Linked DNA regions of Cricetulus griseus. The protein of the gene in region 3 interacts with the protein of the main gene of each other region in a pairwise test. Links are inferred from orthologs where the notes say so. Each region holds a gene or a part of one and is shown on either strand. Other genes may lie near its edges.

Region 1 (4,252 bases), on a different chromosome or scaffold from region 3:
ATATAAACTACACTCCTGTGTGTTTTAAATTATGACTTTTTATTGAGACAGGGTCTCCCCTAGCCTCAGTGAGCCTTGATCCTCCTGATCCTCTTGCCTCCACCTCCCACATTCAGAGACAACATACATGCACTTCCACACTTAGGGTGGGTAGGGTATCTAGCTTACTTATTAACACCTAAAACTATGCAACTCTTATGTAAAAATGTTACTATGCAGATCAGAAATAATGACAAAGGGGGGAAAAGGTCTGTACATGATAAGTACAGATGCAATCTGATTACCCAAACATTTTCAGTTGGCTGTTATTTGAACCTGTAGGGATTCCCGAATTTAGACTCTATCCCCACTCCTATTTTGAAAGTCAAGATCCTTTAAGTCCCTCGGCCCCAGGGCGAATAGACCCAGGCAAAGGATGTATATCAGTATCCAAGTTAGAAATCAAATCTCAAACTCCCCAAAATCAGTTTGCAACTAAGCAAACATCTAGATCTGCGGGTATCAACATCACATATGTCAACAGCAATAAATACTGAGTTCTAAAAAAAAAAAAATTAATGACCTAAATATCTCTATTCAGGACATTTTGTTTCCTACAATGTTTGGAACTTTCCGAAACCCAGAAGACAAAGATATTCACATGTGTAGCTACGAGGGGCTTGGTGCCACCGTCCGGATGCTCACTCACCCCTCGATCCTGAGGAAATCAGGCATCTTGTTAGTGTGAGACGAAGAACCACTCCATTACAAGATCTCCTCCGACCCAGGAAGCCAAGGAGTCAGGGCTGAAAGGCAGCTCTGCAGCTTCACCCGAGTCCTTCGTGAAAACGCAGCCTTCCCACCGGTTACAGTGCCCTCACCCGAGGCCCAGGCTACGGCTGCCTTCCCCCAGCCGAGCCCGCCAGGCGGCTCTCTCTCCGGGACCAAGGCCAGAGCGGGCGCAGGCGCGGAACGCGGCCTGCGGGCGGGCCCGGGCATTCCCCGCTCTCGCTGGGCTGGGACAGCGCCCGGCGGCTCGGTTTCACTCCCGGGACAGAATGGGGACACAGGGCATGGACGTGGCCTTCCGTTGGGACCCGGGAAGTGTCTAGGGTGCCTGAGGGGAAGCTGGAGGTTTCCAAGGGGAAGTCGGAAAAAACACCCCCATGTCTGTCAGCGGGCTCCCTGCCCCGCCGCGGCCTCGGCGCTCCCGGCAGCCTTCCCTCGAAACGCCCTCCCCACACAAACACACACAAACACACCCATACCGTGCGCCGCAGCTTCGCGTGGCGGGGTGGGAGAAAAGGCGGCGGCTTCCTTCCGGGCCGGAAGTCGTGCCCCCGAGAAACGCTTCCTCCCCACGGGAGACTCCCTGTGAGCGGGCTCACGGGTCTCCGGGGAAGCTGACAGGTGCAGGAAGGAAGCCGGCACCCTCCTGAGAGGGAGCGGGACGGCCCCTCTGAGGAGCCAGTCCGGCGCTGGAGAAAAGATCCGGAACGGGATATGGAGCCGGCGTTCTACTTTGCACTCCCCGGACACAGTTAGATGCTGTACCGGACCTGGTTACCATGGTAACGGGAGTCGCGGTTTGTCTAGACACTGACTGAAGAGGTGGGTTTCCCCACACTGGGATAAGTTGTGTATTCTTTGTTTATTAAATCTAATCTTAATGCACGATTTAAAGACTCTAAATCTCTTTTTTAAATATTTTTGTGGACCGTTTGGGACACTTCTCCGTTGCGGGAGGAGAGTGATGATACGATCTTAGAATACTACTCGTACATAATATTTATCAAGTGTTCCCGCTTTAAGTATTGGCGTTCTTAGGCCTCGTCTTCATTTTGAGAAGAATAGGTGTATATATATACATTATTTGCTCAATGCAATATAGCTGCCTGTAGTTAGGAAGAACTTAAGCATACTGGCTCCAGTGACCCTACACCTCACACCCCCCACTCCCAGTTTTTTTGAGACAAGGTCTCAATATGTAACCCTTCCTGTCCTGGAACTTGCTCTGTATACCAGTCTGGCCTCGAACGTACATAGATCCACCTGCCTCTGCCTCCAGAGTGCTGGCATTAAAGGTATGCACCACTGCCCAGCTCAGTGTTCCTACTTTTAGTTATTATACTAAGGACTAATGTGCCTCTGTTTCTTTCTTTCTCCCTCCCCTCTCCCTCTTACACACATACATACACACACACCACTCATAATTTCAGGGCTGGGAGACACCAAGTCAGCCAATATTCAACTATTGGAACAATATCAATAGGAAAAACAAGACTTAAAAAGACCTTTCTGTTCCCACTGTGTTTGTGAAGGCCAGAGAGAGGTACAGGTACAAGGTGGGAATTTAGGAAGTGGTTAGACTTACAGGCTGTAGAAGAGCCAAGGTAAAGCAGAGTGGTTACACAATCTTTTAGACATAGGAAGTAAGAACAGTAAAGAGCTTCCCCAAAACAAAAGCCCCCTCCTCTCCTGAAAGAGGAAGTAAGGCCATAGCCACACAGACATGTATTTTCTCAAGTCGTGTCTTTCCACAGGTTCTGGAGGCCTATCTCATCACCAATCATGAGGGCATCCTCAAAGGGCCTTCTCACCCAGATTTCCCAGTTCTGGAATATGCTCGACGATTTGGCTGAAAATGATCCTGAGCGCTACAAGAACTTTATTGAACAGGAGCTAAAAGATGGAAAAAAGCTCTGTGTGGACCCAGAACCACAATTCTGCCTACAGACCAAGATCCTAGTAGGTAGAATTGGCGCAATGATGATCTGTGTTCAATGAAACTACTCCAAGATACCTTACCCTTCTCTAGTGCTACTTTAACACAAGAGAAGTTTATTAAAATTGCCTCTCTAAACAGAAACTGAAACAGTGTGGAAGGTTTCACTGAAGGAGTAAAAATGAGAAATACAGAAATATGCAAATGAGGCCTTATTGCCCTGTAGAAAAATAGTGATATACTGAATTAATATTTTTATTAGTTCAAATTAGGAACAAGCTTGCTTCACATGTCAATCCCTTCTCCCTCTCTCTCCCCTCCCCCAGCCCCCCCAGCCCCTCACCACATCCCCCCTCCGCTCCCCAGGGATGGTAGGGCCTTCCAATGGGGCTCCCCAAAGTCCAACACATCATGCTGGGTTGGGCCTAGGCCCTTCCCCATGTGTTCAGGCTGAGAGAGTATCCCTTCATATGGGATGGGTTCTCAAAGTCCCTTCTTACACCAGGGAAAAATACTACTGATCCACTACCAGGGGCCCCAAAGAGTGCCGAGGCCTCCTCGTTGACATCCACATTCAGGGGTCTGGATCAGTCCCATGCTGGCCTCTCAGACAGCAGTCTGGGGTCCATGTGCTCCCTCTTGTTCAGGCCAGATGTTTCTGTGGGTTTCACCAGCCTGGTTCCGACCCCTTTGATCTTCATTCCTCCCTCTCTGCAACTGGGTTTCAGAGTTCAGTTCAGTGTATAGCTGTGGGTGTCTGCCTCTGCTTCCAACAGCCACTGGATGAGGGTTCTCAGGAGAGGTCGGGGCGTTGGAGGGGGAAGCATGAATTAAGTTTTTAAAAAACAGTTTCATTACATTTTATGTGTGGGTTCCAGAGAGTGCATTTCAAGGACAGTTGCCTAGCATTTGGGAAGGCCTGAAAAAAAATGTGATGACTTGCATTTGGAATATTACCAAATTTTATTTTAAAAAAGCCATTTGACAATATCAAAATTATTTACTTCCTAGAAACCAAAAGAAAAAATACTTTTTGTCAACCTATGTCAATGGAAAAGGATCATGGCTCCCCAGTCAGCCACTCATCCTGTACCTGTATATGTTGGCAGACCAGAAGATATCTCTGAGGCATCAGGTATAAAGAATTAAAGAATGCATGCATGATTTTTTTATTGAACATATTCATAGACCAGATTTTACTTGGTAAAAGATTTTAAGTAAAATATTTAATTTTACTTAATTAACAAATTAGTGTACTTTATGCACATTTAATATGATTTCTAATAATATGATCTGCTTTCAACCCACATAGAAATGCCAACATGGAATTGGAATTTAGTGTATACGATGTGTTAGAACAGAGGCCTGCGTCTATAGGCCAGATCCTATAGCCTGAATCAGGCCTTGCCTCCCTGCAGCTCTCTCTGAGACAGTTAAGAATCAGTCTGTTGGGGCTGGAGAGATGGCTCAGCAGTTAAGAGCACTGGCTGCACTTCCAGAGGTCCTGAGTTCAGTTCCCAGCACCCACATGGCAGTTCACAATTGTCT
Region 2 (2,548 bases), on a different chromosome or scaffold from region 3:
AAGTTCGTACATAGTTGAGGTCTCAAAATCCGTTTCCTAGCAAGAAGCTCTTTAACTTGAACACATCTTACTTGGGTGATATTATTGCCAAATGACCCGTAGAGGCGTGATTATGGTGTCTCCCTACACGATATTAGTATTATTAATAGTCTAACTGTTTACTGTTATTGGGGTTTTTTAAAAGATAGCAATGTCTAGAATAATTTAAGTTACTTAGAAATCTAGTTTGTCATAAAAGCCAGAGTGTTGGGAAGTTAGCGTAGTAAGTAGGTGTAGTACTTCCTGTACAAGTCTTTGGGCCTGAGTTCAGATCCCCAGCATCTGTGTAAAAGCTGGTCCCAGCAGTATGTATCTGTAATCCCAGTTCTGGGTACAGTTAGAGAAGCTATTCAAAAAATTAAGATGTGCACATAGGCATATACCACAAGGAATTGACCTAGCTGTTTGCTGCTAATTTGTTTTAGCTTTCCCTTCCTTGAATATTTCAGATACAGATTTAAAAGACCTCAACCTACCAAATTGAATTAAAGAGTTTTGGGGAATGCTAGGGATCAGTGAATTAAGTTTGGAATTGGGGGATTGGTTTTCTTCAAATCTTTACTCTTAAAAAAGCATTTACAACCCTACCTTTTATTGTTAATCACTTCTAGAATTTGCTGTTGTCATAGCACTAACGTTATATCTTTCTTTTGTCTTAGAAGAGCCTTACTCAGTCAAAATGGAACGTTTTGTAGTAACAGCACCACCTGCTCGGAACCGTTCTAAGACTGCTCTGTATGTGACCCCTCTGGACCGAGTCACTGAATTTGGAGGTGAGCTTCATGAAGATGGGGGAAAACTCTTCTGCACTTCTTGCAATGTGGTTCTGAATCATGTTCGCAAGTCTGCCATTAGTGACCACCTCAAATCAAAGACTCACACCAAGAGGAAGGCAGAATTTGAAGAGCAGAATGTGAGAAAGAAGCAGAGGCCGCTTACTGCATCTCTTCAGTGCAACAGTACTGCGCAAACAGAGAAAGTCAGTGTTATCCAGGACTTTGTGAAAATGTGCCTGGAAGCCAACATCCCCCTGGAGAAGGCTGATCACCCAGCAGTCCGAGCATTCCTGTCTCGACATGTGAAGAACGGAGGATCCATACCTAAGTCAGACCAGCTGAGGAGAGCCTATCTGCCTGATGGATATGAGAATGAAAATCAGCTCCTCAACTCACAAGATTGTTGACAAGGCAGTTATGACCATTGTGATCAAGATAAATAATGTGGAGTATTAAAGTTAATGTGTTGATTGTGTGGTTCATTTTTATATTTATTTCATTTAAAATCATGTGATACAGAGTAGTTTTGCAATGTGTATATAGTTGCAGGCAAAAGAAAAAAAAAACCTCACTGCAAAACTTATTGCTAATTTTAGTCATCGATGATATAAAGCAAAACTTAGCTGTAGAGTGTATTAGGATATCTGAATCCTGGTGGTTATCTTTAAAACTGATGGGTTTTCTCCTGAAATGTTTGTGCATGGAAGAACTAACTACCCTGAATTGTAGCCCTGTTGCCATGTATGATTATTTCTTGTGAGGTTGCTTAATTGTTTGGGTTGAGAACTAGCCTAGAAAATTGAAGCTGCTGCCAGGCTATGCCCATCACAGGAACTTAAAGAAGTTTGAGTTCTCTTCAAAATAGAATGGAAGGCGGGAAATCTTAGAGCTTGCGATCTCTAGGAGAAATAACTGTTCAAACTACATTTTATTTGTATGTGAAATAATTGCCTAACCTTCACTTCCTCACCATCTTCTTCACCTTTTTAAAGACTTGTACTTAGTAGCAGCTTCAATGACCAAAAGACTAAAGTCTCTCTTAATGTCTTTGCCAAAAGCCATGGGGGATTTTGCAGTGATAAGATTTTAGTCTCGAACTATGAACACAAATTTTGAACCATAGTTTTCATGTTAAATACCATCTTGGATTTATGCCTTGGTATTAAAAGACTACAGGACTGATTTTTTTTTTTTTTTTTCATTTAAATAACTCTGTGGTTCAGTTTCCTCTTTTAACAGGGAATTAGTAGTTACTTTTTGGCTGACAGCAAATAAAATTGCTTTCTATACATTAATTTTTCCATAAGATTTTATAAGAGTTTTTTTTAGGTAAATAGACTAGAAATGAGTTTTAGTTTGACTTTTATTGCTTTGCCTCTGGTGATATAGGTTTTAAGACTTAGATGCTAAACAGTTAGAAAATGGGGCAAGACTTTTGTAGTACAGATAAGCAGGATGCTGCTTAGCTGTTGGAGTCAGAAAAAAAATCAGTTCTGTTAAAGGTCAACCATGTTTAGGTTCTCTGAACTTTACTGTTCTGTAAGCTTATTAGAAGTAATTTAGCTCAGATAAGTCCTCTTCATCAGATCCAAATTATATTTTTTAAAAGTTTAGTAACTGAGACTTAGTTAGAGCTTTAATATAAAAATAAAAAAATCACATAGTTGAAAACATTGAAGTTATATTTCTATTGTAAATCAGTGGCAAGATGCCCTGTGTGACTTGGAGTTATC
Region 3 (3,500 bases):
GGAGTGAAAAGAAGGGGCATGGTATGGGTAGGGTTTGTTACTTTGTGGGATGTTTTCACCCTTTCCTTTTAATCCCAAAAAGATATTTGTTCTGTTTACACAATGAAATCATGAACTAAGTAGGGACATAAGGACACTGGCAATGGAGGAAAGATGTAGTGCACAAGGTGGAGTTTGGGTAGGAAGGCCCATTCCCTCAAAACCAAGTGAAATACAAATGCAATTAGGGAGAAAGGGGGAAAACATGGCTGAACACATTTTAAGTTATAAAATGAGTTCTGTGATCAGTAAACAGTACCCAAAAATAAATCACCATTTGAAAATATGCTAAACACAGATGTAGATGTACCTTAGTTCAACTTAGAGGAAAACTGTTGTGTCTGAGTTTATCAGTGCCAACTAATACAAAATTACTACAATTAGTCTGATCTGGACATGGAGCTCAATTGGTAGGCACTTCTCTAAGCAAAGCCCTATCACTGATACCCCAGAAACTACATAAACTTGGTGTGGTGGTGCACATTTGTAATCCTAGCACTTCTAAGGCAGAAGCAGGAGAATCTGAAGGTCAAGGCCATCTTTGACTACATAGCAGGTTTGAAGCCAACTTGAGAGATGTGAAACCCTGTCTCAACCAAGAGTTCAAAAGAGGTGGTTAACTTCAAATAAATATTGAGGAAAGATCTTCTAGATTTGCTGATGTATTGACAGATTTAGGAGATGAATCAAGGGCGACATCAAGGTTTTTACCTAAGCAGCTAGAAGCACGGCATGACAATTTCCAGGGCTGGTGAGACTGAAGGACAAGCAAGTCTAGGGGATAAGTTCAAAACTCAGGCTTCAACATATTGACCTAAAACTTAAATCTTGTTATTTTTTCTTTTTCCTTCTACAGGGGGTTGAACATAAGGTCTTGGAAACATTAAGCAAAGTCTACCACTGAGTCACAACCTTAGCCTTTTTTATCTTAGAGACAAGATTTTCATAAACTGAAAGCTGGTATTGAACTGACTATGTAGCCCAGGCAGACCTTGAACTTGTAATATTAAGGGAATCTAATACAGAAAGGCTCAAGAAAATATCTTTTTCTTGAAAATACAGATATACAACTAATTTCTTAAGTAACTTTAGAAGTATGAGTCTAAATAATAGAAAATAGAAAAAAAAAACCTTCCATCCCTTGAAATCTCTCTCTCTCTCTCTCTCTCTCTCTCTCTCTCTCTCTTCTCTCTCTCTCTCTCTCTCTCACACACACACACACACACACACACACACACACACACCTACCTAAAAATACCAAGAAGCCCCCAAAAACCCCATAGGGGTCACTTTGGCCTATGGGCCTCAACAATAATGAGTTTATTTCACAATGGCATAGCCATTACATGTTTTACCTTAAATCTGCTTGAAAGCAAATATCAATTCATTTAACTAGTACATTAATACATTACAAAAGACACACAGCTTGTCTTGAGGAAACTTGAAAGAACAGTTCACACCAAGCACATGTACTTTAGGCATCTCTCAAAGTAAAAAACAGTACAGCTCTTTAAGTTTCTAATTTTGAATGTTCCCTTTATATTCTATACACCTAAAGTTTTAATAGTTTTTTTTTAGATTTAAATCCTACAGGTTACATTTAAAGAAAACCATATGCAAAGGAATCACTCAATTGCTCACTTTGCAGAGTGTCAATACTTGAATATTGACTGCTCGGAACAAAATTATGACTATTTGCATCATTTGATGGTCCAGGCTCATTTATCAGGCCATTTTCTACACAATTGAAGTTTGATCTATCAAATGCATCTGACTGTGCAACAAAAACAGAATTAGAACTGGTGCCTGCTGACATATTGGCAGAAGACATCTGATGTAGTTGTCTCAGGTCTCTTTGGTCTAACCTTGAATTACATGAGGCATTTTCAAGATTGATGCTCATAAGTCTTGGATTATCAGTGTCCCCCATGTTATCATTGCTGGTTGTCATCACATTCACAGGGCGATTAGATAGCATGTTGACATCAGAAATACCATATAAGTCAGCTGGTGACATGGATAACGCTTCCATTCTAGCTAGGTCATCAGTATAAAGGCAAGCATTAGAAGCACTTAAATCACTCACACTAGACCCTTCTAGGAACGGAAGGATACTTTGTGAATTAGAGGGAAGTGTTCCTGTTGAGAAACTACTCAATGTGTTTGTATTGGCTGAGTGTGAGGTGGGGTGGCTCACTGATGACCAGCTTGAAGGTGGAGAGACCACTGAGGCTATGGCTGGTGGGTGATGTGGCAATCCACTTGAGATGGGCACAGATGAAGAATAGTAGGGTTCAGTTTGACTTGAAACTCCTGAAGGCCTGGGCATTTCTGGCATAGGTGTACCATGAGAAAACAAGTTTGATTCTATAGAAGAAAAATGTATTTTATAAATTAAGATGAACAAATAAATGTAAAGCATTATTTCTGAATTGAGATTATAAAAACACACTAAAAAATTTCCAGGGAACTGATACATTTCAAATAAAAAAAAATTAAAGCACAGAAATTATTACATGAAATCAAAACTAAATTCATAACATGTAAATTGCTTTATAAACACATGAAAATGATTTTTAAAAGTTATCTTGGTATATGTAATTTTCTTCTAGTTAAATATGAAAATACAGCTTCTTGAGTCATATAGGTGCATTTTAAAACATAGAAGATAAATATTGGAATTTCAGGAAATAGGTATCCAACGGCCTACATCATGTTATAGTCTCTACTTTCAGGAGAAAATGGAGAGATGGAGAAGACATTCATTAGAAAAAACTGAAAAATACAGTTACTAAGACTAAGATATGACCCTAAACTACTATAAAATTCCCTATCATAAAAACTTATTTATTGACATATTACACAAGTACTATGTGAACCAGGATAAACCAGGTTAAACCAGGATAACCAGGATAAATTTAAGGAAAGGAGATGGAAAATTTGTCAGGGGCTCATAAAATATCTTCTATCAAAGGCCAGATAGTTTTAAGATTCGTGGGGTGAGCAGCCTCCACTGGAATTATTCAGCTCTGTTGTTGCAGTAGAAGAAAAAAAAAAGGGAGTCTAGGTCTGGCATGGACTGTGTCATGGTCAGCATGCATGAAGTCCTACTGCAGCACTATTAAAAAGGCAACAAGAGACATTATGTAACAAAGGAATGCAGTTATGTTCAAGTGAAACTTATTATAAACAAGTGCCTACTATATCCACATCATTTCTTCCATGATACAGTGCAATTAGTAAAATTACTAGTTGTGGTGGTTTGAATAGGTATGGCCCCATAGACTCATACATTTTGAATACTTGGCTCATAGTGAGAGGTATTAAGAGGTGTGGCTTTGTTGGAGTGGGTATGGCCTTGTTGGAGAAGTGTGTCACTGTGGGAGTGGGCTGTGAAGTCTAATATGCTCAAGCTACACCCAGTGTGACACCCAGTTGCTTCTGCTGCCTGTGGATCAAGA
Region 4 (3,977 bases), on a different chromosome or scaffold from region 3:
ACCCAAGTTTAAATACACCATTGCCATTCCCAAACTATTCACAAGATGCATTTGACAGGAAGACGACTAAGTCCACTGGACTGTAAACTCCTGAATGGTATTGAGTTGATTTGAAACTGGAATTTCCCTGTCCCCCCCATTCTTCCTTCTTTTTAAGATTTATTTTTATGTACATTAGTGTTTTTTGCTTGCATGTATGTCTGTGTGCAGGTACCATATCCTTTGGAACTGGAGTTACAGGCAGTTGTAAGCAGCCATATGGGTGCTAGGAATTGAACCCAGGTCCTTTGGAAGAGCAGTCAGTGCTCGTAACTGTTGAGCCATCTCTCCAGCCCCACAACCAGTGAGTGCGCTTAACTACTGGACCATGCCTCAGCTCCTGTCTTTCTTCTTCTTCTTCCTCTTTTTTCTTTTTAAAGATATTTTTGAGACAGGATCCCACTGGGTTACCCAGACTGACATGGAACAGCATTGTCTTCAGTTGCAAAATGGAAGGGATTTCCTAACAGGAAAAGAGATATTGCTGAGTGGAAGAACTGTCAGGAAGCAAGATTCAGAGTAGCAGGTGAATAGGTGATTAAGCTTCTCAATTACACAGTAGTACATGCCTGCAATTTTAGTACTCAGGAGGCTGAGTAAGAGGATCATAAACTTGAAGAAATATAGCCTAGGCTACACAGTGTGTCCGTGTGTGTGTGTGGTGGGGGGCAGGGCAAAAAACAAAACAAAACAAAACAAAACTTTTTAAGGAAACATGTTTGAAGAAATTCTTTCCATCAGAAAAAGTGTACTCATGTTTTTGGAGTTCAGCCAATAGTTATTTTTGACTGGGTCATAGTGGACACAAGGTAGGGAGGTTAGCACTTGTTGTGTTCAAAGATCATGGAACAGAAATCTTTCGCTGAATTAGCTGTATATGGTAGCTCACGGAAGTGTGGTAAACATCAATGCATTGTCATGGAATTTAACTATGCGGAGGGGCAAGGACGACCTTAAACTCTCTAGAGGGGTGGGTTGCAGCTCTCTGATGGTTCAGCCCGGTGTCTGGCATCTAACAGGAATTCGGGGTGTACTTAATGACTGATTTTTATCTAACAGGACGAAGAGGGAAGGATCATTACAAACCACCGAGAATCCACTGCAGGAATACAGAAACCGGAGGGCTCCATACACCTCTTTTCAGGTTTTCTGGCGGTCAGAGAGGCAAAGCTCTAATCCACGAACCTGGTCTCCAGGAGTCCCGACCTGCCATTTCCGGGTTAATCCCCACCCACCCAGAATGTTTCCGGTCTTCAGCGCTGGAAGCGGCAGAAAGGTAAGCTTGCGTCTCAAGGGCGTACACGGACCTTGGAAGTCATTCCTGGCCCAGACGGAGGCGAATCCAAGCGAAAGCAGTCCTTTAATTTTTGCGACACCCAACACTGCGCGGCAATCATTTTCCTTGCGAAGATTACAGGCCTCGGGCAACGTCACTTCCGGTCATCTGGCCGTTGGCCAAATCCGGAGGTGATGTCAGCTCCACTTCGTTTCGGGAGGAGTCAAGGCTGCTCTTCGCACTTCCTCTTTTAGCAGCCCGAGTGCGCCGCAGCTGGGAAGGTGTAGTGTCTTAAATAGAGTTGGGGATTTGACAGCTGAAAATGCAAGTCGTCCAATTAAATTTAAGCTCACCACAATGTAATTTTTAGTTACAAATAATCCCAAATGTACTGATCATATTTATACTAGAAAAATTACTTATTGGAAATAGAGATTTCACCAAATGCCCAGCATTTTATCTGGCAGTTTTGGCCTTGAGCTTTCCTTCGTCCTGGATTCTAATAGAGATCCTCTAGGCTTTTGCTGCTCTGTGAGATAGACAAAGTTCACCTAGGGCTGAGTATTGTATGTTTTAGACGCTAAGATGCTCCAAGCCTTGGGGATGGATGGATCCCTTGCATGAAAACCGGGCATGTTTACAGACATCCCATGGCCGGTGCCCTTTGTATTCTTTTTCACAATACGTCTAGTTTTTTTTCTTTTTCTTTTTCTTCTTTAAAAACTAGCTGTGAACTATACCGCTAAACGGCACAGGTCTCTGGAAGTTGCACGGTATTTAGGAGTGAATAAATTGTTACCCACAGTTTTCTCTGTTGCATTGGACAGAGCATCAGAAAGCCTGAGGTGTCAGGCAAACAGGAGTATCAGCCCTCCACCGCCATGGAGGATTCCATGACTTCATGCATGATAGACATGATCTCTCCCACAGAACAACACTTTTCAAGTTCCCTGAAAGAATTAGGCTTAATTTCATCCCACCTCTCATCTTGCAAATGAGAAAAGATACATTACACTTAAAAAAAAAAAAACCCAAAACAAAAACCCCAACATCCCAGTTCCTAGACTACTTCCTCTTCTATCCACGCTTACTGATACAGTTGTCTTTCAGCACAATGGTAGGCATTTATTATAGTATCTTTTTTAGGGGCTTTAATGTGTCTCAGTGATATGGTAGAGTGCATACTTGTCACATACAAAACCTGGGTTCAGTCTCCAGTATCTCTCTGTCCCCAAATTTAGATACCTTTTTACAGATGAGTCCTTTGGCTTCATTGTCCCCTGTATTTACCCTGTATAGCTTCCTGACCTTTACCCCAAGACCTCTCTGTTTTTCACTCTGCCCAATAGGGAAAATGATTGTTTGGGCATAGTTAGGAGCCTGGCCTTTGCCTGCTCCAGCACTGGGCTGTTTCTGCACTGAGTGGTGTAACTCAGGGCTTGTTTTGCTATCACGCAGCCAGGAAGGGGTGTTCCTGGCAAGGCTGACCCTGACCAGCTGTGTGGGTAGAGGGACATCTTTTCCTGTGCTGTAGATTGAGCTCAATAGCAATGTCCTCTTGCATATGACCCGAGGACTTGTCAAACAGTCTCACCTTGAGTCAGATTTTGTAGCTACTCCTGATTTGTGCCTGGACCTCTCATTGAACTGGTCTGTGTGCTGAGAATCCTCAGGTTGTGTGCACTGATAAGCCTGCAGCCTTTCTGCATAGACCCAGCATTCCCAGAATAGTCTTATAGCTAATGAAATAGATCAGGCTAGAGGTCAGTGGGCTTGGGGTCAGTTGGTGAGACAACCAACAGCCCCCCCTCTCTGTCAGCAGTAAAAGGGGTGAAAAGGTAGGGCAGATATGCCAGAAAGGGGCACTGCCTTGGTGTGAGGACTTGGAAGTAGAGTGTGTGGAAAAAGAGTGTGGTTCAGGAGACCACTGGGAGGAATAGCTTTCTTTGTGAATGATTAACTCCCAGCCAAAGGGTGACCCAGGAGGAGGGTCCACTTCATAGGAACTTTGGACTTGGGGCAGAGTGTCTAGAAGACTGGTGTGTGGCCTACAGAAGAGGAGGACGTGACTGGGCGTCAGGGCTGGGCTTGCAGAACTGGAGTAAGATCAGGTTTGCTGCAGGCTTCAGGAGTTCTTCAGCTTTCATTTCAGGTGGCTCATTCTTGCAGCAATGGCTATGGAGTCCACCAGCCCTAAGCTCTCAGAGGGGTGGCCATGATGGTGGGATTCTGTCTGCGGTCTCACTCATTCTCCTCCCTCTCTAGGCAGCTATGAACACAAGGCTATTCTGAAAGAAGTGGGGCATGGCTGCAGCCCTACAGGTCTTGCCCTCTCTTCTCCGAGCCCCGTCACGTCCATTCTTCTGGGGGCCCCCGGTGGCCCGGATGTCCAGTGGTATGGCTTTGGCAGAGCAGGCACGGCAGCTGTTTGAGAGTGCTGTGGGCGCTGTGCAGCCAGGTCCCATGCTGCAAAGGGCACTGTCCTTGGATCCTAGTGGCAAACAGCTGAAGGTGCGGGACCGGAGCTTCCAGCTACGAGAAAACCTCTACCTAGTGGGCTTCGGCAAGGCTGTGCTGGGCATGGCAGCTGCAGCTGAGGAGCTGCTGGGCCAGCATCTTGTGCAGGGTGTGATCAGCGTTCCCAAGGGGATCCGGGCTGCTA
Region 5 (3,500 bases), on a different chromosome or scaffold from region 3:
GTCACTCAGAAAGTGGGCGTGCTAGCATGATTTGTTGCTGTAGCCTAGCCAGTAAATCGCTGTGGTCAGCCAGGTTTTAGCATGTTCCCAAGTTCCCATTGTCCTGTTCCCAGACCCATCTGAACTCCTTGGAGCAGCCCAGGCAGGCATCCTATGTTCATACATTCAGCTTGGAAGTGAAGAATAGTCTGGCTGAAGATAGTCACGGAAATAAGTGCCTGCTCTTCCAGGGTACTTGTCATAGTCACAAACACTCTTACCCAGATCAGGGTGGGACACTTAACAAAAGATGAAGGTCAGATTTATATACTCTGTGTCAGTGACAGACTCAGTAGCTGGGGCCCTTGGATCTAAATGTTGGCCTTGGTTTCCACACTGCCCAGACATCTGGGAGTTTTTGGCTTACACCAAGCAGAAGAAAAGATACAGATGTGAGATTTAAGACTTGGATCCTTCTGGTCCTGTGTGCAGACTGTTGGCAGACCCTCACTGTAGCACCACAAGTCTTAAGCCCTGCAGAATGAAACATTGAGAGGGAACCTTGCACCCAAGGAAGGGTACTAGTGGGTGGTTCCATGGCTGTCCTACAGAGGAAGGCATGGCTAGTTAGTGCCTCAGGCCAGCTGGAGGCTGATTGTCCCCCAGTGTCCTCGGGTGGCAGCAAGGCGAGTAAGGGGCTGTTAAGGGGCATGTGCAGACGAAGAGGCTGCTGCCAGCATTGGGACCGTCCCTGCTGCCAACTTGTATGGCTTGTCTGTTCTTTTATGCCTAGCTGCCTACAAAGTTGGGCTGGGGAAAACTGAAGAGCCTTGCAGACCCTGTGCTCTGCTCTTCCTGTTTCCAGGCTGTACACACCCCTACCCAGCTGACTACCTAGACCCTACTTCTAGAATTCACTGGAGATGATGGGCGGGCAGATGCAGCTCCCCAGTCCCAGACATAAACACTGACTCAGGTACAAGCCCTCGGCTTTGTCAAGCCTTATCCAAGTGGGGCTGACAGCCAAACTCTGAAGGGCCTGTCTTCAAAGTCAAGAGCTGTGGCCCTGAGGCAGAAGGACTTCACAACCTGAGCTTCATGCTGAAGGCTAAAACCCTTTTCTGACTTTGGTATAAAAGTCTCTCATGTTTTCTCTCCCCCACTCCCTCTCCCCCCACCCCCCAATGGATGGGAAAGCACAGCCATCATGAAGGAAACTCCACACAAGCCCCTCACATTCAGACAGTTGTCTACCATTACACACCCAACATACATAGCAGGGCTGGACTCTTCATAGGTCTGGTGAGTCACCTGAATTTGACAGCTGACCTGAGTTTTTTTTTTTTTTTTTTCCCCCCCTATGAAGGCTACTGTCCCTGTTAAGGATAAACCGGATTTCCCCATTTTTACACAGCGGCATGTCAACACTGCCAGGAACCTCTTCCAGATAAATAAATAGGTCCAACGAGGTTCTTACAGTAAACGGATACATAGGGTTCCTGGCTTTCTGGTCCAGAGTTAGCAGGCATTACATCATCTATCAAAATAAATACTAAAATTCCTATTAAGTCATGACAGTCCATAGTGGGCACAGGTCTCAGTTCAGTGGCTTTACCCAAAAGGCTGTATGTTTCTAGTTGTCTAAATCAATTAAAAAATTGCCAAGGCAGAATGTTCCATTCAGAATGCAGTCCATTAGATGACAGGCTCCGGCATGGCCTAAAATTAGTGTTTTTCGGCTGCATAAAGGATGTTGTAGTGGGATGTTTTATAGAGCAGATAAACGGAAGGGGTGGCAGCCTCAGGGAACACGTGGTGGTTCAGAGCTGTGTCCATCTCATCCACATACTCCACCTGCAGAGCAATGTTCAGTGCCTGCGACAGAGCTGTGATCTGGACGTGGTCACACTCCATGGCCATGGGCTCCACTTCCTGCAATGCCAAAATGAAACACTTAGGAGGGGCGCGGGGAGGGTGAGTGAAACCCTGGCTCTCAGGATCATGGTCTCCTGTGCTGGGGGTGGGGTGGGGGGGTTCTTCCCAAGCACATGTGAGCGCAGGTGCTGATAACCATCTGTCATGGAAGCAACACAGAGACTACAGGGCTTGCAGAAAATGAACCTGAACCTATTTTTTTTTTTTTTGGTTTTTCGAGACAGGGTTTCTCTGTGTAGCTTTGGAGCCTATCCTGGCACTCGCTCTGGAGACCAGGCTGGCCTCGAACTCATAGAGATCTGCCTGCCTCTGCCTCTCGAGTGCTGGGATTAAAGGTGTGCCGCAAACCTGAGCCATTTTTATTCCATACCCTTTAAGGAATGTGCAAAAGGGGAGGAATCTTTTAGGCTAGCATCAGAACTTAGAACTAAGAGGACCTTGTCATCAAAGGCTTCCAAGTATAAGTGCTTGGCAGTGGCCAGAGCCTGTGTGTGAGTCCTGCTGCTGTAGAGACAACAGAGAGGCAGAGATGGTGGCAGGTACCCCAAAGAGGGCAGCTGTTCTTGTGCCTACTGGTAGTCGCCGTCCAACTTAGGGCCCAGTACCTCCTAATTAAAAAAAAAAAAAATCCAAGTAGCCATAATTGTCCACTTCCTTACATGTGGGCCACTCCTTCAGATAAATATTATCTAAACAAAAGCCCATCTTAGGGTTAGCATGACAGGAGCTGCCACTCAGCTGCTTATCAGCAGAGCAGTCCTGAGATTCCAGATAGGCGATTCCCTGGGAATACAAGCTGCTTGCTCAAGCCTCGGCGCTCAGGCCACTCATGGAAGATGCCTCCAGGTGCTAACCTTGCTAGCTGACATTGCAAGGATGTTCCTCTGGGCAGAAACAGTGGTCCTGGGATGTGTAAGAGACAGACAAGCAAAGCCTAGGCCAGGGGCTACAGGACGACCCTAGGGACATACATGAGTGCAGAAGTCTTTGATGTCCATCTCCTCATCAATGAAATGTCGGAAGAAGTCAGCTCGGTTCCTGATGAAGGCCGATGTGAGCAGGCGCAAGAACTGCACGATCCGGTCCGAGCAGCACTGGTCATTGAACACCTTCAGCAGGCTGGACACCGAGCTGTCCTTCTCTACCAGCTCTACCACACTGTAAAACTTCACGCTGCCACCATCAGAATAGACCCCAGCAAGCACCTGTCCCCCACACCCCACCCCACACACGACTTCCTCAGAGCTCATTTTGAGATTGCAAGTCTTAGTGTTGAGGCTCCGAGGCACATCTAGGGGCCTGGCATTGAGTCTCCTTCTACCATATATTCAGAATGGCAGAACGATGCTGACAGTCCTCCAAACTGAGGTCCCCTTGACCCATATACCCCCAAGCAGCAGGGAATGGCCTTGCCCCAGCCCCAGGTGGGAGGACTAAGAACAAAGCTGCACAGCTGTGGGTGGATCGAAGACCTCCAGCCTGCCTGCTCCTGTCTGCTCTGCCCTTGTGGAAGGCCAGTATGGCTCAGGTGAACTCACAGCATTAAAGAAGTTTCTGAACTTGTGTTCCTCAAAGCCAGCAGCCAG
Region 6 (4,259 bases), on a different chromosome or scaffold from region 3:
GATGTACCTTGTGTTTTGTTTGGTTGTTTTCTTGGTGGGGTGGGAGAAGGCAGCTTTCTCTGTACGAATGTAGTGGTAGCCGGTATTAGACAAACTTTAAACAAGCAAAGAATAGTAAACAAAGTTGATGCTATCAAGAAGAAAAAGGTTTATGCGGCCATCTTATACACGAGCCTCTTCCCACTCTCAAAGAATTTTTTTTTTTTTTTAATGAGTAGGATCCATCCCTTATCCGAAAATAAATCACAGTGCCTGTGGGGATTTGAACTGGGCAATTCCGGAGCTTGGTTGTTGATTCAGTGACCGTTGCGGGAACAAGTAGATCATGCTGGGTAACTTGGGGGCCACTAATGTGTCTTCTACCTCCGCTCCCGGAAAGTTAAACCATGTTTAAGGGAAACATCCGAGAGAGCACTTCCAGGCCTTCCAAGGCAGAGGTCTTTTAGGGCAGAGGTGGTTGTTTATTTTAAAGACAGAATGAGGTGGTAGGAAATTAAAATTACCCAATCAAACGAGTTGTCTTCCTTAAGCTTGACAGATTTTTTTAAAAATTAATTTTCTTCTGCAGCAACGAAAGAGAAACCAGATTGCAAAACGAAATGAAGAAAAGAGTCCCCCAAATTTCCGAACCATCACTACTCCTCTCACTCCTCTTGTCGGGTACTTGAAACCTGGTCCGCCTGGGGCCGACCTGCCGTGCACCCTCAATTCCCTTGCAAGCTCCGAATTGCTGAGGCCAAGTGTGGGTCTAGGACTCCGTGCTTCCAGACCAGGCCTGGAGCTCGGTGAGTCGGTAGCGGAGAGGCCTGCCTGCCTGCTTACAAGTACCCACCCCTCCCGCTATCCCCCCCCCAACCCCTCCCCCGTCCAGCAAGCCGGGTGTGCCGCTGCGGCTCAGTCCCTCCCGCCTCGGGAAAGGGTAGTGGTGGGCATGGAGGAGGGGGGCTGTGAGCGCCCCCGCCAGAGAGGCCCGGTTGGCTGCAGGTGGCGAAGAAGGTGAGGTGCAGGAACCCGAGGGGTGCTAGGGAGGAGGAAAGAGTGTGTGGGGAGTGTTTGGAGGCTGGGACCCCGGGGGTGGGGGTGGCGATGGGAGGGAGGAGGGACAGGGTGGGGGAGGGCGACGGAGGAGGTGCGGGCTCCTGCCAGAGAGGAAGGGAACAGCAGAGGAGCTGGCTCAGACCTTAATCAGAGCTCTCACCGGCTCCTTGCAGCGGCTGGAGAGTCTGGGCTAAGGAGGACCAGCGGGTGGAGCTTGCGCCCTCAGGGGCAGCAGACAGAGACGCGGCCCGCGTGCCACCAGCCAGGCGGTTCAGGCTGCGAGCGCCTCCGGGGCCGGGGAGACCGCTGCGGTACCTCCGGCTGCCGCCGATCTTCCGAGACCCCCGGGAGCAGGCCTCCCAGCTCTGCGGTCCAGCTACTGCCTCCCTGCTCCTGCCGCCGGCCGGGGGGAGCCCCGGGCATGAACGGCTACGGCTCCCCCTACCTGTACATGGGCGGCCCGGTGTCGCAGCCACCGCGGGCGCCCCTGCAGCGCACGCCTAAGTGCGCGCGCTGCCGGAACCACGGGGTGCTGTCCTGGCTCAAGGGCCACAAGCGCTACTGTCGCTTCAAGGACTGCACCTGCGAGAAATGCATCCTGATCATCGAGCGGCAGCGGGTGATGGCGGCTCAGGTGGCCCTTCGCCGGCAACAGGCCAACGAGAGCCTGGAGAGCCTCATCCCGGACTCGCTGCGGGCTCTGCCGGGGCCCCCGCCGCCGGGGGACGCCGCTGCCGCCGCCTCGCAGTCGTCGCCAGCCTCCCAGCCGTCCCAGCCGCCGGCGCCGCCTCGTCCCGCCGCCGAGTTGGCTGCAGCTGCCGCGCTGCGCTGGACCACCGCGGAGCCCCAGCCCGGAACGCTGCCCGCGCAGCTCGCCAAGCCAGGTGAGAGCGTCTGCTAGGCTGGGGTCAGCCTCGAAGGAGGAAACTTCGAGTGCCCTTGGGGATCCGTTTGGAAGGCGAGGGCACGTTTGTAGGAAGTTGACCTGATTGGGCCTACATCCCCAGCAGACACTGACTCTTACTCTCCGGGAAAAGTGAGTCTCTTACAGAGTCTGAACCCGATGCAGGTGGAACCCAGGAGCCGGCCAAATATCCAGGCTGTATGTCCCTGTCTCCTGGTGCCTTCTCTGGGCTGAAGGGGAAACTTAACGTCAATTCTACAAACTATTTGTAAAACGAAATCTGGGGAGGGACCGCTTTTAAATGCACCATGATGAGGCGGGTTTTAGGGGGGCTCTCATTTAGGGGTAGGGATAAATAGGTGAGGGTTAGCAGTTAGGGCCCAAGTGCTTTGCTGTTTCTAGGTGAATCTTGGCTTGGCCCGGGACACGGGAGCAAAAAGGCGACATCTTTAACTTAAAGGAGCTCGGACATTGTAGCTGGGTTGAAGACTTGACTTAAAATTCGGTAAAAAAACAAACAAACAAACAAAAAAAACAAAAAGAAAAAGAAAAAAAGTCGCCTTTTAAGAACTGTAGAAACTGTAGATAAAAGGTTCCTGAAGTCGTCAAAGCGAGACCAGCTAACTCTTTTTGTTGAATTACCTCTTTGGTCCTTTAATTCCTTTCCCCAAGTTGCTGTGATTTGAAGAAATTAAAAATAAAACTTGGCCTACCTTGGGGAAAACTTAACAAGTACTTTTCCAGGTTTAGGCAGGCTCGGCCTGCTGTGAAACAAGGGAAAGCTTTTTGGGCCTTCTTGCTTCCCTCTGTTCTCTTTTACTCTCAGAAATGCTTTTATTTGGGGCGTGGTGGTGGTGGTGGTGGTCTGAGCCCTGAAAGTACGCAGACCCCAGTTTCTACCTAATTCTGTCACCCTGGCTCCTTCCTGAGTCTGGCTGCCCCCAGTTTAAGCCTCTTCCCCACTTTCCTCAGAAGGGAACCGCTGGCTTCTCTGCGTGCCCCTCTCAGCAGTGGGAATTCAGTGGACTTGAGTCTGGTGTTTCCCCTCACTGGGTAAACGTACAAAGGCAACAAGCCCATCTCCTCTGAACCGGTGTACTGAAATTAAAAGTGAAAGGCCCACAGTTTTTCTGTTGATAGAGCTGCTGCTACCACTTCCTCAGCTCCTCAAAGACAGCTAGATCTTCTTCAGAAAGGTTTTCTAGAGCCCCAGAGTGCTGAGCTCAACTGCTGAAGATATACACTCCCTGATGTGTGGTGAAATGGTAGGCCAGTCCCGCCTTCTGGCTCAGTTAGGGTATTTAGGCCTGAAGTTCGGAAAGCAGGTTGCTGACCGGGTTTTGTGGATATTTAACTATAAGGGGAATATAAGCATTTCTCTGTAGCACCGCCCCCTCATCGCCTCTTATTTGTGGATTTGCCTTGGAGAGTCTAGAAGGATTCCTTCAGGTGAGAACAAGTAGGAGAGTTTGACCTCAGTTCTAGAAGTGACTCCATGCTACTATCTTTTAATTTTCCATTCCAGTTTCCCTGGCTCTAGGACTAGAGTCTTCCAGGGTAGAGCAGAAGGATGAGTTACAATTCAATTCTGCATTTTGCAATGCCCATCTGCCCACCAGTGCCTCCTGTAGTGCAGGAACCTTGAGTTCCATGGTCTTTGTTCAAGAGGGGTTCCTTCAGCATCGTATGGTCCTCCTCAGATTGGTCTCCAAAATGTATAGTCACAAAACCTAAAACAAGCTGAGAAAGAATTGGGCAAAGGCACTAGGGGGCCAAGCTGAAGCAACAGCGGGGTTCAAGCTTTAGGAGAATAAAAGGGGGCAAAGAATTTCAACTGCACAAACCAGACTTGGGGCTTGTTTTCTCTCCCTCTGCTTCCACCAAATACTCAGGGATAGCTGGAGCCTTCCAAATTGAGAACAATTAATTGGGAGGGGGAAAAGGTAGAAGAATGACTTCCAGAGACTAAGCTGTGAGGGACCAAGGGTTCAGTTCCCAGCTGGCCACAACTATGTACCTTGAACATTCACTAACTTTTGTTTTCGTTTATCAATTGCAGTCCCTTAAGAAAAAAAGCTTGGGAGAGGTTTATAAACTGATTATAATTTTCCACTACAAACACAAATAAATAAGTGGGCTGGTTCTATGCAACACATATAAAAAGCAACTCTGTCGGGAGCCAACACTAAAATTAATTAAAGTAACATTAAAATGGGGCAGTCAAATTAAAACTCCTGGCTAAGACCGCCTGTTGCTGTGTTCCCGTACTTTTGTGCAGAGTATTTGTGTGTGACATGCCATGCATTTTTAGAGGTAG
Region 7 (2,603 bases), about 26 Mb from region 3:
ATCTCCTCTGTGGAGAGGAAGCTCAGTCAGGAACTCCAGCGGCCTGCCTCAACTTCCCTAGTTGGTTTTTGCTGGATGTCATGAACATCTGGTTTGATGATGTTTCCTCTGCTTCAGCTGTGACTCTGTTGGGAATGCCAGCTAGCTGCCTTAAAGTCAATTTCTGCTGAACATTTGGCTGATTTAATAATGTTTGTGTCTACCCGTCTCTCTCTAGCTATTTATTCTTTTACTTTGGCTTACTGTATACTTACTCATTTAAAAACAAGAGTATTCGTAGATCCTTCTCCAGGTAGCACCAAACCATCATCCAAGCCAAGAAAGGCATTTGTTTAAATAAGTGGGACAAGTGGCAGCAGCACGTGTGTGGACATTTCAGGGGCTGTCAGTAGTTCTGTCCTAATCTCAAGCCCAAATTGATTGAATTAAAAAATTATTTATTGAGAGAGGGAGGGAGGGTGAGTGAGTGAATATAGGTGTGTGTGTGTGTGTGTGTGTGTGTGTGTGTGTGTGTGTGTATGTGTATGTATACCCCAGCATGCATATGGGGGTCAGAAGACAACTTGTGGGTGTTGGTTCTCTCCTATCATGTGGATTCCTGGTTTTGAACTCAGGTCATAAGGCTTGGTGGCAGGTGGGTGCCTTTGCCAGCTGAACCACCCAGCTAGCCCTTAATTTATTTTTTATTATGTGTGGTATATAGCATTATATAATATGCAATTTATGACATATAGTCTCTATTAAGAAGAAACTGGATGCCACTACTGCATTTGAGAAACCAGATTTGTCATCTGCAGATGATAACTATAAATAGAAATGTAAAGACAGTTTTTAAATTCCAGCTGGATGCCATTGTCTGCTAGAGGCTTGGAACCTAAGACTTGAGATTGGCTGAAAAGGAGGCATTCAGTATGTGCTGTTGAGGGGTTAAAAATAAACCATTGATGCCATGCTGCTGTGTTTGAGGCCGCAGGGAGCCATGGATAAGTTCGTCTGCTTACTCTCACCTCATGGGTCTCCCATTGTCTTAGTTAGGGTTTTTATTGCTATGAACAGACAACATGACAACAACAACTCTTTCTTTCTTTCTTTCTTTCTTTCTTTCTTTCTTTCTTTCTTTCTTTCTTTCTTTCTTTCTTTCTTTCTTTCTTCTGAGATAGGGTTTCTCTGTGTAGCTTTGAAGCCTGTCCTGGAACTCCCTTTGTGGACCAGGCTGGCCTCAAACTCAAAGAGATCTGCCTGACCAAGGCAACTTTTATAAAGGAAAACATTTACTTGGGGCTGGCTTACGGTGCAGAGGTTCAGTCCATTATCATCACGGTGGGACATGGCAGTGTTCAGGCAGACATGGTGCTGGAGAGGTAGCTAAGAGTTCTACATCTTGATCTGTAGGCAGCAGAAGAGACCTGTGTGCATACTGGGTGTAGCTTGAGCATACGAGACCTCGAGTCCTGCCCCTACAGTGACTCACTTCCTCCAAAGGCCACACCTCCTAATAGTGCCTCTCTCCATGGGCCAAGCATTCAAACACATGGGTCTGTGGGGGCCATTCCCATTCAAACCACCACACCCATAATGGTCTTGCTCCTTTACTTTGGGAAATGCTCCCTTATATGGTGTTTGGGAAGCTGCGAGGGTGGAGGTGAAGGGTTCTGAGTATGGTTTACTGATGGAGAACAGTTCACGGAGATTGGCCCTCACTGGGGAATAAGATTAACTTGTGATAGGAGGCTGGGTAGGAGGATGGCCTTCATGTCAGCCCTTACAGGGGTGATGCGGGTAGATATAGTGGAGGTTTGGAGAAGGGCCCAGCCTAAGACCTTTTTGGAGTATATAGAGTGTTTCCTGTTTCTGCAAAGACTGGGCAGGGAGAAGTCTCCTGATGCTGGGCGTGATCCACTGTCTGTTCTGGATGAGCCACCTACTGGGGTTCTGCAGGTTAGGGTGTGATGACTACAAGGCCCCCCTTTCTGTGGGATCTCCTTGTCATGTGTAGTTGACAGGAGGAGCTGGGGGGGTCTGTAGAGATTGCATAGGATGTTCAGAGCTCTGAGAAAACAAAGGTGCGTCTTGGTAGCCAATAAGCACTCTGTGAGGGAGGGGCACCCCAAGTGGTGTTGGAGTGGGCAGTGGAGTAGGGCTGTGACCAGGTTGGTCAGGTCCCTTGGTCAGCCTTACTACCCTTGATCTAGGGTTGTATAAAGGAACCTGTTACCTCTGCTATGGCCATACTTCCAGGAAGTGGAAAAGACAACAGGCAGGGGGTTCTGGGTGACCCTATTAACCTCTTTATTATGTTTCCCCCACCAGGAACCAGGATCATCTATGACCGGAAATTCCTGATGGAGTGTCGGAACTCACCTGTGGCCAAAACACCCCCGAAGGACCTGCCAGCTATTCCTGGGGTCACTAGCCCGACCAGTGATGAGCCTCCTATGCAAACCAGTCAGAGCCATCTGCATAGCAGCCCGGAAGATAAGCGGGCAGGCGGTGAGTACTGGACCCGTCCAGGCCCTGTGAGGGGAGGAAGCTTGTCCGTTTTCTCTGAGAAATTCCAAGTTTCAGGGACGGGGGCGATAGTGGGGAGCCTAGAGGGTGGGGCA

Evidence for each region.
Region 1: the proteins of Rel (region 3) and Pih1d2 interact in binary tests that used the Homo sapiens proteins (3 or more experiments, as listed by UniProt). The two-hybrid records come from large-scale screens. The link is inferred for Cricetulus griseus from reciprocal best matches to the Homo sapiens genes REL and PIH1D2.
Region 2: the proteins of Rel (region 3) and Cggbp1 interact in binary tests that used the Homo sapiens proteins (3 or more experiments, as listed by UniProt). The link is inferred for Cricetulus griseus from reciprocal best matches to the Homo sapiens genes REL and CGGBP1.
Region 4: the proteins of Rel (region 3) and Glyctk interact in binary tests that used the Homo sapiens proteins (3 or more experiments, as listed by UniProt). The two-hybrid records come from large-scale screens. The link is inferred for Cricetulus griseus from reciprocal best matches to the Homo sapiens genes REL and GLYCTK.
Region 5: the proteins of Rel (region 3) and Otub2 interact in binary tests that used the Homo sapiens proteins (3 or more experiments, as listed by UniProt). The two-hybrid records come from large-scale screens. The link is inferred for Cricetulus griseus from reciprocal best matches to the Homo sapiens genes REL and OTUB2.
Region 6: the proteins of Rel (region 3) and doublesex- and mab-3-related transcription factor 3 interact in binary tests that used the Homo sapiens proteins (3 or more experiments, as listed by UniProt). The two-hybrid records come from large-scale screens. The link is inferred for Cricetulus griseus from reciprocal best matches to the Homo sapiens genes REL and DMRT3.
Region 7: the proteins of Rel (region 3) and Eif4ebp1 interact in binary tests that used the Homo sapiens proteins (3 or more experiments, as listed by UniProt). The two-hybrid records come from large-scale screens. The link is inferred for Cricetulus griseus from reciprocal best matches to the Homo sapiens genes REL and EIF4EBP1.

What each region holds. Positions count from the first base shown.
Region 1 is NC_048597.1:162,383,639-162,387,890, forward strand, and holds the start of Pih1d2 (PIH1 domain-containing protein 2), read left to right. Parts: upstream 1-1,452; 5' UTR 1,453-1,590; intron 1,591-2,522; 5' UTR 2,523-2,550; coding exon 2,551-2,727; intron 2,728-3,715; coding exon 3,716-3,839; intron 3,840-4,252.
Region 2 is NC_048597.1:28,615,514-28,618,061, reverse strand, and holds part of Cggbp1 (CGG triplet repeat-binding protein 1), read left to right. Parts: intron 1-698; exon of another isoform or gene 699-701; 5' UTR 702-718; coding exon 719-1,222; 3' UTR 1,223-2,548. UniProt on the Homo sapiens protein: Binds to nonmethylated 5'-d(CGG)(n)-3' trinucleotide repeats in the FMR1 promoter. May play a role in regulating FMR1 promoter.
Region 3 is NW_023276807.1:83,034,704-83,038,203, reverse strand, and holds part of Rel (proto-oncogene c-Rel), read right to left. Parts: intron 2,407-3,500; coding exon 1,640-2,406; 3' UTR 1-1,639. UniProt on the Homo sapiens protein: Proto-oncogene that may play a role in differentiation and lymphopoiesis.
Region 4 is NC_048597.1:214,362,164-214,366,140, reverse strand, and holds the start of Glyctk (glycerate kinase), read left to right. Parts: upstream 1-1,177; 5' UTR 1,178-1,315; intron 1,316-3,580; 5' UTR 3,581-3,619; coding exon 3,620-3,977.
Region 5 is NC_048598.1:102,678,348-102,681,847, forward strand, and holds part of Otub2 (ubiquitin thioesterase OTUB2), read right to left. Parts: coding exon 3,453-3,500; intron 3,081-3,452; coding exon 2,886-3,080; intron 1,912-2,885; coding exon 1,705-1,911; 3' UTR 1-1,704. UniProt on the Homo sapiens protein: Hydrolase that can remove conjugated ubiquitin from proteins in vitro and may therefore play an important regulatory role at the level of protein turnover by preventing degradation.
Region 6 is NC_048596.1:35,690,677-35,694,935, reverse strand, and holds the start of doublesex- and mab-3-related transcription factor 3, read left to right. Parts: upstream 1-1,459; coding exon 1,460-1,922; intron 1,923-4,259. UniProt on the Homo sapiens protein: Probable transcription factor that plays a role in configuring the spinal circuits controlling stride in vertebrates.
Region 7 is NW_023276807.1:56,580,683-56,583,285, reverse strand, and holds part of Eif4ebp1 (eukaryotic translation initiation factor 4E-binding protein 1), read left to right. Parts: intron 1-2,310; coding exon 2,311-2,490; intron 2,491-2,603. UniProt on the Homo sapiens protein: Repressor of translation initiation that regulates EIF4E activity by preventing its assembly into the eIF4F complex: hypophosphorylated form competes with EIF4G1/EIF4G3 and strongly binds to EIF4E, leading to repress translation.